Linked DNA regions of Mus musculus. The protein of the gene in region 1 interacts with the protein of each later gene in a biochemical or structural test. Links are inferred from orthologs where the notes say so. Each region holds a gene or a part of one and is shown on either strand. Other genes may lie near its edges.

Region 1 (6,083 bases):
CCCTGCACAAGCAAGCTGTAAACCTCAGCAGCTGCCTGGAGAAGGATGGAGGAGAGGGAGGAGAGAGGGGGAAAGAGCTGTGTCATTGAAGCTGTCAGGGAGGTCAGACACGTGGCTGATGAGCAGCCCAGCCGTGAGGAGGTAAGTTTTAGAGAGGGAGTCAAGAACTCTAAATGTTGTATGGGGAAAGCCCGCAGTGTTAAAGGAAGTATGCTAAGAGAGAAAAAGAAGTAAAGTTATGTTTTAATAAATAATTTGAATAATTCAGAACAGTGGCCAGACATCACCCTTATGTGGCTGTAGGGAATGCTGGGAAGGAAAGTGTAAGTTTCTTATTAAAGGACTTATTATTATTATTATTATTATTATTATTATTATTATTATTATTACTCCCCTGACCTCTTTTCATGGTTTAGGGTGAGCTATCTTGTAGGGGTGGTCCTAGGATGAACTGAAACCAGGCCAACTGCAATTCTGTTCCCTTGGCCAGGAGTTTCTCTGCTCTCAGGAGTCTTCAACTAAATTCCAAGGGAAAGAGTTCTTTTCCTACTCTCTCCCCCACGTTCCCATGTCCTTTCATTCCGCCTCAAATCTTCAGATAGTAGTATCACCAACTGAGTGGGAGAAGACAGGAAGAGTCATGAAGTGGGAGGGAGATTAATCCTGCTTAGAGGAGGCTGAGCTTGGATGTGGTGTTTAAGAAGCCGCTGAAAATACAAAGTGAATACAGTGTCACAGCCTTTAATCTGGGTGCTCAGGAGGTAGGGCAGGCCGATGTCTGTGAGTTCAAGGCCAGCTTGGTCTACATAGTGAGTTCTAGAACAACAAGAGCTACAAAATAAACCTTAAAACAAACAAACAAACAAACAAACAAATAAACAATCCCCCAAAACCTTAAAGATTAGAAAACTAAACAAACAAGGTATAACTTGAAGGGTGCATATGCGCCTGGCTTGGAGGATCCTGGGACATCTCACTAATAATGGGGAATGACTTCGGGTAGAATCCTAAAGGAAACTGACATCTATACGAATCAGAAAGAAAATGGGCTCAAACTCGGTCCGGTCCGGGACAGAGTGTTTTTTTGTGTGATGTAATTTACAGCTCCTTCTGGGAAGCCAGGGTTACCTGCCCGGCTGACGGACTAGCTTAATAATCTTCAACCAGATGTTTTCTTTCCTTATCTTTCTTGTGTCCATTATCAATCATGTGAGCCAAACATTCTTTTTTTCTTATAAAATTTCTCAACTAAAATTACTCACTCCTTCTTTAGATTCTTTCCCAAATGCCACACTGGTCATGTGTGAGGCTTGGGCAAACAATCAGCAGGGAGAGGTAGGGAAGGAAACAGAAGAATGTCCGTGTTGTGGAAGTCAGGTGACTACATTTCAAGAAAGGGGGGAACGAACCAGGGAGATGCTTCAGCAGATAAAAGCACTTTCTGCCAAGTCAGGCCCCGCGTGATAAAGGAAAGAACCAACTTCAGCACATTGTCCTCTGACCGCCACGTGCCTGCTGTGGCACATGCGCACTCTGTCTGGAAAAAGAATAAATAATAATAAAAATTATTTTTTTAAGAACTACATAGCATAGACAGCAAAATTAAATCTAAAAAGATAGGCACGAGTATGACTGAACAACAGTATCAAATTTGGTGAGATCCAACAATCTAAGGATAAGAGGCTGTCCCAGCCTTTACCTAGAAGAATGTTGTATTGGCTGGGACAATGTGTGCCAACTTCTAACACATGCTAGAATGATCACAGAAGAAGGAGCATCCGTTGAGGAAATGTAGCCCTGAAATCCAGCTATAAGGCGTTTTCCTTTCTCTTTCTCCTTCTTTTCTTTTCATTTTTTTTTGGTTTTTCAAGACAGGCATTTTCTCAGTTAGTGGTCCATGGGGGCGGGCCCAGCCTACTTGCGGGTGGAAGGCTGAGCGAGCAAGTCGCTACTACGTAGTACTTCTTCTCTCCATGGCCTCTGCTTCTGCTCCTGCCCTGTTTGAGTTCTTGTCCTGACTTCCTTTGATGGACAAACAGTATTTTGGTCTTGTAAACCAAATAAATCCTGTCCTCACCAACTTGTTTTTTATTTATTTTTATTTTTGGGCGCGCGCGCGCGCGGAGGGGGGGGGGTTCATGGAGTTTTGTCGCAGCAGTAGTAACCCTAAGTGAGCTCAGTCTTATTATCTGTCTGCGGGTGACCCACTGGTCTTTCAAAAAGTGTGGGTGTACGCAAAATGGAGAGAGGAGAACTTCTGGAGCCGTTCTGCTCCACGTCGTCGTGTTCAAAAGTATCCGGAAGCAGTCGGTGGCCAGCCAGCCAGGCCAGGCGCCAGCCGGGCGGGGGTAAAGGCAGGCTGGGAGGGGCGTCAGAGCCTGGGGGTGGGCGGGTGGGTGCTGTGGCGTGTGGAAAGGTCGGCTCCTCCCACCGTGACGTGATGCCCAAGACCAGACTAAAGAGCCTGCCCGGAAGATCACCTGCTCTTTGGGTTCTAGAAGGCAGAAGACATCCTTGTCCGCTCGCCTGCTACCTCTGAGGAAACTCGGGGCTCTACTCAAAGTGCTGAGGTAGGTGGTCCACCTTGGAGATAGGTCTCGGGGAGAAGGGGGACACTGGTGAGGGAAGGGCAGAGGCTTCCAGGATTAGTTGAGGTAGGGGGGATAATATCCTGGAACCAGTGAGCGTAAATCTCAAGCCGGTCCGCCCTGGTCTGGGCTTTCCTTCCCGCCCTTTTTTTGCCTTCCTTTCCCTTGGCGCCCACCATTTTGAGACCAGATCTTTGGTAGTCCAAGCTGGAGGGAAAAAGCATTGACGTTGGGATGGATTGGAGCTTCGGTGGCCCTGAGCACTGGGATTGCAGGCGTGAGTTTACGGGACTGGTCTGCGGGACTGGTCTGCGCCATGCGATGGCTTTGGGGCCTGTTAGGCAAGCACCCTACCAAGTGGGCTACACCCCTGTCCCATGCTTCTCTAGCTCTGCTTCCACTCCAGATTCAGCCATCTTGGAACTACCCCAAAAGACTCCGTCAGGAAAGCCATAACGCTTAGCGGCTCATTCTGCTGAATCTAGCCCTGGATTCTTAATTCTTTCAAATTATTTCATTCCTCCGCTTCCCACAACCTGTTAATCTCTGCGGTAACTTCGAACCTAGGACCTGAAGCCCAGCTCTTGATCCAATACCCTTCCTCTCCCGTCCTGTGTATTTTCTGTGTATCTTGGATGTCTAGAGGTCTAGGTTGGAGTCATGTGGGGACCTTTCTGCAGAAGAATGGAGGCCTGTAAAGAGCCTGGTTTATCCATCTCACTTGTCCTTAGCTTAGAAGTCAGTATCTTTCAAACACGGGAAAGAATTTGAATTCTGGAAGTTCTGGGCGTCTTCCCTCAAGATGGCTCAGGAAGGCAAGCACGTGCGTGATGGAGCTCCCCTGCCCCCCTCCCTCGCTCCCCCCTCCCTCGCTCCCCCTCCCCTCCCCCCTCCCTCGCTCCCCCTCCCCTCCCCCCTCCCTCCCCCCTCCCTCCCTCTTCCTCCTCCCTCTCTCTCTCCCTCACTTTCCCCTCCCCCTTCACCTCCCGCCTCTCTCTTAAACACACACACACACACACACACACACACACACACACACACACACCACCCCAGAAAAAAGTGAGTGAATTGTGTGGCCGTCATACCAAGACTTGGGATCCTTCGCTTCACAAACATTCAAGTAAGTGGTGGACCTAGCTATCCTCAAAGCTTTTATCTCCTAACTCCTAGTTAGTTCTTCTTCAGGAGAAAGAAAATCTGTATTGTTTTTCTCATTTGCTAAGGAAGTAGGCTCATACCATTGAAGTATAATGTGGAAGAAAAGGAGAAAGTGGAGCTCTCTGGTAACGGCCTAAGAGAGCTCTTAGGGGTGACTACTAAAATGGACCCCAGCAGGCCCCTTGGAATCCTGGTCTGTGGGAGGAGGGGCCCACTACCTGGAGGTCTCTCTGATTGGGCCCTGCTCTTCTCTGCTTTTCCCTGTGTGCACCCTAGCCATGACCCAGGATCCCTCTGCATGTGGGGCCTCCCACTGTCTCTTCCAGGGACCAGGAGGGAGGAACTGATCTTGTCGGAGCAGCTGGCCACGCCTTTATCTAGGCTGGTTTGCCTGCGGCCTCCCAACTATGACCGATTCCACGCCAGACCTCCTTCATCTCTGACCTAGTAACTTGCAGGGGCCTCCGACCCAATCCCCGCCTGGTCAGGCCTTCATTTTTCACCCTCAAGTTCCGGGGTTCAGAAAGTGTGTTTGTCTGACTGTTATGGCCTAGTCCTATAATCTCAGCCTCTGGAGAGGCCGAGGCAGGATTGTAAATTCCGGGCCTGAACTACAGACCCACGTGGACATAATGAGACCCTGTTTCAAAAGCAAATATAAAAACATGTGAATGTAGTCCAGAGGTAGAATGCTTGCTTGTTTAACGTAGGCATGGCCCCAGGTTCTATCACGAGTAAGGTTGGGGTTAGTGAATGCCGAGGAGCGCGCCATTTTCTGGGAGTAGACCAACCGGTTGAGAAAGCACTTGGAATGTGAGGGGAGGGGACAGGAATTACACAAGCGCTTCTTTCTGTGTAGGCCGGGCTGCCTCCCAGCTCAAGATCCCTGTGCCTCAACCTCTCAAGGGCAAAAATAATTGGTGGATGCTACCACACATGGGTTTCACAAAGTGATTTTTGAGCCACCACTGGGTTAGAATTACTGAAAGGTTTTGACCATGTAGGTGGTTGGATTTTACTTTCAAAATCTTCAGGTCTGAGATGGGGCCAACAGGAATGGGTTTCTACCGAGTCCTCAGTGCTGCTGACCATGAAGTTGGTTAGAGATCGTCTTTTTAACTACATCTTTTCTAGTATCTGGATAAAGCTGGATCAAAAGCTAGAGTCGGTTCTCAGATAAAAAGAAAAGTGGCGGGCTGGTGAGATGGCTCAGTGGGTAAGAGCACCCGACTGCTCTTCCGAAGGTCCAGAGTTCAAATCCCAGCAAGCACATGGTGGCTCACAACCATCCGTAATGAGATCTGACTCCCTCTTCTGGTGTGTCTGAAGACAGTACTTACATATAATAAATAAATAAATCTTTAAAAAAAGAAAAGTGGGGCAAGGCATGAAGGTTGTGGAAGTTCTAAAGGTAGTTAACTAATGGGCAGATAGTTGAGCTTGGTGATAAAAACGCCAGACATTTCTACAAGCGATGATGGCCGGGGAGGGAAGTGTCCAGCAGAGAAAGATCTGAACAGAGGTGGCCAAAGACCCAAAGATAATACACACCATCTGAAAAGAAAAATCCTGACCAGAAGTGAATATTGTAGGTGAAAAGCATGGCTATAAGATGTGATGTTTGGCCTCATTCCAATTTCAGGAAAATGGCAGGGAAAACATAGAAATGTGGCAGTGTTTACAAAAGTTATGTCTATGATTGAATGCTTATTTCCTTTGTATTCCTAAACTTTCAAAGTCCTGTGATATTTATAGATAATAGATGCTTTTCTTCCTTTGAACATCCTCAGCCTTGGACGTGTCCACCTGGCTGGATTAAGTTATTCACATCTTCTCCCACTTCACACTTAATCTCTCTTTGACACATTATGTTAAAACTATGAAGCAGGGCAGAATGAAGGCAACCAAAACCACAACAGAGTTGGCAGAAGACAACAGAGAAAAGGAAGAATCATGTTGGGGTGGAGGAAGAGACTGTAGTCGGTACTGATCCCAACACAAGAGTCCTGGGTGGGCATTGTTACTAGTCAGTCTGTGGATTGAAAACTGTCACCATCCATGTGAAGGCTTCATAAGCTGTTCAGGAGTAGTGACCTCATCTCTTATGCCAGCTAGGGAACTCTAGTCCAATCCCTTAACCTACCATCTCTCCTCCTAGGTATGATGCAGGAACTAAAGATGGTTCTTAATTTGTTAAGAATTTTATACACATGATTTGTATGATTTCTATACCACAAATACAAATACAAGTATCCAAGTTTTAGTTTAAAAATCCATTTTAATGTGGAAGAATATGGTTCTTAATTTGTTAAGAATTTTATACACATGATTTGTATG
Region 2 (6,149 bases), on another chromosome or scaffold:
TAGTCAAGAAAAAAATAAAAAGGACAAACGAAAGAAAAAGCACAGTCCAGTGGCTGACAGCACAGGCCGCTCCGGCAAAGGACCCTAGTTCATTTGCCAGCACTTGCCCACTTGGTAGTTCACAACTGAAGTCTGTAACTCCCGCTCCAGAGGGAGCCAAATACCTCCAGCCTCCGCAGGCACCTGTTCTCACACATCCCTACACACATCCAGATAATTAAAATAGTACAACTAAACCTTAAAAAAAAAAAAGGAAAAGAAAAAGTCCAAGATGGCATATAAAATGTTATTGCTAGGCCTCACTGAACTTTGGGGTAAATTTTATTCAAATTCTCCATCAACAAAAATTATATTATATATTATAATATAATAAAAATTATATTAGCTGGGCATGGTGGTGTATGCCATTAATCCTAGGAGTAAGAAGATCTCTGTGAGTCCAGGGCAGCCTGGTCTACATAACAGAGTTCCAGGACAGCCAGAGCTACAGAGAAACCCTGACCGGGGTCATTTCAAAGTATGTTCTTGGGGCTGGAGAGATGGTTTGGTGGTTAAGAGCATTTGCTGCTCTTCCAGAGGACCTGGGTTCAATTCCCAACATCCATGGCAGCTTACAACTACCTGGAGCTCCAGTTCTAGGAGCTCTTTTTTTTTTTTTTAAGATTTATTTATTATTATATGTAAGTACACTGTAGCTGTCTTCAGACACACCAGAAGAGGGAGTCAGATCTTGTTACGGATGGTTGTAAGCCACCATGTGGTTGCTGGGATTTGAACTCTGGACCTTCGGAAGAGCAGTCGGGTGCTCTTACCCACTGAAAGAAATTAACCAAAAAAAAGATACAAATTATTTTCTTAACCATCAGTCCTCAAAGTTTCTCCACATGGATGTTATAAGTGCTGCTGGAAAGGAATTTATACTAAAAACTAAATAGGTATTCAAACCGGGCTTTTTAAAAATTAGATTTATTTTACTGTATGTGTGAAAGTTTTGCCTGTATATTGATCTCATACACGCCCTCGGAGGTCAAGGGAGGTTGTCCAGTCACCTGGGACTGGAGTCATAAGCGGTTGTGAGGCTTGAAACAAGGTGCTTGGAACCCAGTCCTCTACAAGAGCAATGAGTACTCTGACCAGCTGAACAATCCCTGCAGCCCCACGTGTCAGGTTCTCAGAAAAACGCATGCCACACCCTAGCCATAACTCTCGGCCTCTGGAAGGGTGATGAGCCATGAAGATTACTTTACCTAGTAAGCACTGACACGTGCTCTTTTCTAAGCTGGACAAAGAGTACTTGCTGAAATCACTACAACTCCTCAAACTCAGTCCTACTATCTTTGGCAGGAAAAGGGAGTGGGACAGACGAAGGACTGAACTCAGGGCTTCCCGGCAGTAACCACACCCCACTGAGCTATAGCTTAGTCCCAGGCCCCAACGCTTTATTCAAAGAATAAGCTCCCTGGGGCCAAGTATGTTTGGAGTTACTAGATTCTTACAGAGGACACATATATCCTGTGATTAACAACCCACACTAAAAACATTAATATTTTCTAGCAAACAGAAATTTAGTATCACACTACATGAGGCATATAAAAAAACTAAATAACCTAAGGATAGATTAGGACAGATTGGCCATCAACCAAGTTACCAACATATTTACATTTGGGTTTTGTTGGTTTTGAGATAGGTTCTTGCTATTTAGCTCAGGCTGGCCTGGAATTTATTATATAACCCAGGTTTGCCTTAAGCTCAAGATGAGCCTCCTGCCTCAGCCTCCAGGATGCCAGAACTACAGGTGTGTATCACTATACCCAGCAAGAACTTACATTTTCTTCTTCTTTTTGAGTCAGGACACCCCAGCATATCAGCCATGTGTACCTCAAACTATAGAGATCCACCTCCCAAGTGCTGGAATTAAAGGCTTGTACCATAACATCCAGGAAGAATTTACATTCTCCACTTTTACATTTGGAAACTGCTAAAAGGAGACTAGATCATTCCAACAAACCAGTAGGTCTGTCTCTTGTATTTGGTATGCCTGGATATAAATACTACCTGTCGAGCTGATGAGATGGCTCAGCAGGTTAAGAGCACTGACTGCTCTACCGAGGGTTCTGAGTTCAAATCCCAGCAACCACATGGTGGCTCACAAACACCTGTGCCCTCTTCTGGTGCGTCTAAACTCAGCTACAATGTACTCATGTATAATAATAAATAAATCTTTGGGCCTGAGTGAGCAGAGGTCCTAAAAATTCAATTCCCAACAACCACATGAAGGCTCACAACCATCTGTACAGCTACAGTGTACTCACATACATAAAATACATAAATTAATCTTTTAAAAAAATACTACCTGTCAACTCTGGTCATTGCAAGAGACATTAATGTAAATATTTAACTTGGAAAGCTTCCATGAAGAGTGATCTCTGCAGAAATATGAATACCAACCGTCTATCCATCCAAATATTTCATTCAAAAATCTGACCACAAGTAAATAGAGGCACAGAATGTCACTAAAAGGCAAACTTTAGGGTCATCTCAGCCAAAGACCCTGACACCCGTCCATGACCTATCAATTCTGCCTGGCTTAACCCTGAAAATCAGCTCTTTACTTATTTCCCACGTTAACGGCTTTCTTACAGTGTATACAATTTCAAGCAGAGACTGTATGAACTATGGTTCTTTGTGTTCTTCTCTCAACAGCGATAACCCTTTAAGCCAGTGATCACGCATACTTTTCGAATTCCTAGCAACTAGCACGTAACACTGCTCTTTGCATTTTACGACTGAACATATGGGGCAAATGTCATACAGTTCAACAAACATTTACTGACCAGGAAATGTCAAACTGAACAAATAGGTGGAAGACGGTGACTGAGACGCAACAGGCCTGCGAGCTATCCCTTGGGGGTGGGCGCTGGCTTTCTAACCACCCATCCTCGGCTTTGTTGTAATCCCCCCACCAGGAAAGGAAAGTGGTCTTCCCAACTCGCCTTTACAACACCTATCGCCATCTCTATCCGGAAGGGCGGGGCGTTGGTCGCCCCAATCCAGGCCTTGCTAAGCCGCACCCGCCACAAGAACAGACTGCAAAGCTGGGCCAATAAAGAGAAGGGAGAGCATTCGCCACAGCCAGTCGGAGAGCACCGGGGCCAGACCGAGACACCGCCCACGCACGCGGGGAGGTGACCGTTGGGCCCAAACAGGCGGCGTCACCATCCAATCAATACGCTTCTAGACATTTCCGCGACCAATTAACAAGAACGCCTCCGATCCGGGCAAGCAGAGGGCGGGAATAGTTACAGGCATAGGCCGAGGCCAGGGTCGGGCCCACATTTTTCTGTCTGGTACCGAGAGGAGACAGAGTAGCTAGGCTAGGTTCGGGGGACCAGAAAGTTGGAACCCAAGCACGACGAGGCGTGGCCAACCGCGTCACGTTACTCAATCGACTCCCCTTAGAAACCCGCCATCCCTTCTCTGCCATTTCTCACCTTCCTTCGCGGCATTGCCGGCGGCTGCAGCCCGACGGTTCCGATTCGGGCGGCGGCAGCACCAGCAGGAACGGGGGCTCCGGCGGGCTCCGTGGCGGCCTCTGTAGCTGTCCCAAACCCTGCGGACGATCCCAAGTGCCTCCTACCTCTCAGCGTCTAGAGCCTTCTGCGCAAGCGCCGCGGGCTGGAAGCGCCTATTCCTTAACTTCCGGCTGAGGCTTGCGTCACCTGACCTTTAGGCCAGTGAGGATCATGGGAAGCTCGAAACTCTTAGTGAGGCCAGTCAGCGCCATTTTGGAATTGGGCAGGAGACGGCACCAGTGGTGAAACCTTCGGCTAGACCTTTTTAGTTAGGTAGGCGGCATTCGTGTGGGATTAGGTAGCCATGATTGTTTGGGGCAGAAGTCTGGCAGTTGAAGGTAACCGTTTTCATCTTTACATTGGGCAAACTCTTCCTTCCTCGTCGTTTTAATTTGTGGCGTGGAGGGAGGAAAACCCCAGAATCCATCAGGTTGTCGATCTTTAACTCTTTCATTTCCTAGTCGGCCGAAGGACGTTTCCGTTCATTCTGTAAACTCCGAACTGGCAAGAGATATTTTGCCCAAGGAACTGCTGTAAGAGCTATTCCGTGTTCCGGAGTGGTGTGAATGGGGCTTGAATAAAGGATTGACAGGGTCGTTGTCGGTCTTGAAGTGGGGTAGAGTGTTCTCTTTATGCCTTGTCCTTGCGTTAAGAGAACAAGAAGTAAGTTATGAGATGATGCAGAGCCATTCTCAGGATGCCGGAGCGCCAAAGAATTTCCAGTTTATCTCTGTTGTGAAACGCCCCCGGCTTATCAGTGCTCTGCTTTGGTTTGAGATCTTTGGGTGGCCCGGAGAGGGGCGGAGGACGTGGTTTGAATGTGAGGGTGCTGTACCAAAAGTCGGAGAAGTGTTGAACCTCATTCAGCCCGTGTGACCTCTGTAGCACAAATGCAAGAGCCAAGAACTGAGTGGAGAGAGAAATAGTATTTTGAAAGACACTAGAAAGGGAGTGGGTATTCAAGTAATAATAAAAGGCCATAAGAAGAAGAAATTAAGACTAGAAGAAAGAGCTATACGAAAAGTCTGGAACCAGGTGGGGGGGTGGGGGTGGGGGTGCATGCTTTTTGAAGCAGGCAGATCCAAATCATGAGCTTACGGCCAGCCTGGTCTACATGGCCAGTTCCAGGCTAGATCCTGTCTCGAAAAAGAAAAGTCTGGAAAGTGGTTTGTAGGCCTTGAAGTTTTAGCCTCAGAGGACTTGAAAGAACCAAGGTGAACCAAGAGTGACTTGCTGGAATCAAAGCAACCTCAGTAATTACCAAGATAGAATTCTGGTTCCAGATTTGTGTGTGTGTGTGTGTGTGAGCTGAGCACGCACTCATGACCAGGTGAGTGCTCAGAGGACAACTTTGGGGAATAGATTCCTAACTTCCACCTTTGTGGTGTCTCTGGGATCAAACTCGGGTCATCCAGCTTGCTGAAAGAGCAAGTGCTTTTATCCCCTGAACCCCCACAGGCCCCTATCAGAATTTCCATTTGAGGCTGGCTAACCTGGAGAGAGGCTTTAAGAACAGAATACAAACCTGATTGACATGCTAAACAGAGGACTCTTCGGAGTTAAAAAAATTCCAGACCCTTAGCCCACATTCCCTGGGGCTGGGGGTGGGGAATAGCTTAAGCCATTGTTGACGCCATTAGCATTCGGTATTTTGCTTTTAGTACTTAGTATAAATACCTTTTAACAATCTTTGTGAGTTGATTTGCACATAAAAACTTGCTTGAAAAGGGCTCAGATATTTTCCTTTGTATTATTTTAGCTCTCTCGTGTTTAATCCATTCTATCACTGTTCTTTTCACGTAAGGATATGTTCCTGGGGCTACTCTGGAATGTTCTAACTCCCTAACTAGTGCTAACAGCCTCTTATATTTGAATAATATCCTTTTAAGTTGGCTTGTGGTGACACACATCTGTACTCCCAGTCCTTGAATCAAAAGCTTGATTCAGTTTAAGGTTTTCAGCTACATGGTTCTAGGTCAGCCTAGACCGGATTCATCTTCCAACCCCCTGTAATTTCTTTTCTGTCTTCAGAAAGACTTTCCTGATTTACTGTTTGTAAGGTAATAAAACATGGTGACATTATTTTTCAGAAACTACTGCATATTTTCAAACGTTGGTAGATATGTCCCCCCTCCATTTCCCAGCCAATAGGAACACAGTCCCTACTCCTCATTATCAGCTTCACTAGAATTGAGTACAAGGCTTTGATGTCAGATGCAGATCAGCTCTGTCTTTTTTTTTTTCTCTCTGTGTTGCTCTTGGATGGGTTTTTTTTTTTTAAGATTTATTTACTAATATATGTAAGTACACTGTAGCTGTCTTCAGACAACTCCAGAAGAGGGAGTCAGATCTTGTTGCGGATGGTTGTGAGCCACCATGTGGTTGCCGGGATTTGAACTCTGGACCTTCGGAAGAGCAGTCGGGTGCTCTTACCCACTGAGCCATCTCACCAGCCCCCTTGGATGGGTTTTTAAATTGACCTAAGTTTCTCATCTTAAAGTGTTTGTGCTAATGACCAGCTGACTAAGTGGTTGGAAAGAATAAAAGAAATGAGTGTTTTGAAAGACTCAGCAAGTT

What was found.
Region 2: the proteins of Jade1 (region 1) and Kat7 form a complex in vitro, tested with the Homo sapiens proteins (2 studies listed by BioGRID). The link is inferred for Mus musculus from reciprocal best matches to the Homo sapiens genes JADE1 and KAT7.

The regions. Positions count from the first base shown.
Region 1 is NC_000069.6:41,553,250-41,559,332, forward strand, and holds the start of Jade1 (protein Jade-1), read left to right. Parts: upstream 1-2,484; 5' UTR 2,485-2,570; intron 2,571-6,083.
Region 2 is NC_000077.6:95,306,544-95,312,692, forward strand, and holds the start of Kat7 (histone acetyltransferase KAT7), read right to left. Parts: upstream 3,704-6,149; 5' UTR 3,507-3,703; coding exon 3,492-3,506; intron 3,156-3,491; exon of another isoform or gene 3,015-3,155; coding exon of another isoform or gene 2,994-3,014; exon of another isoform or gene 2,835-2,993; intron 1-2,834. UniProt on the Homo sapiens protein: Catalytic subunit of histone acetyltransferase HBO1 complexes, which specifically mediate acetylation of histone H3 at 'Lys-14' (H3K14ac), thereby regulating various processes, such as gene transcription, protein ubiquitination, immune regulation, stem cell pluripotent and self-renewal maintenance and embryonic development.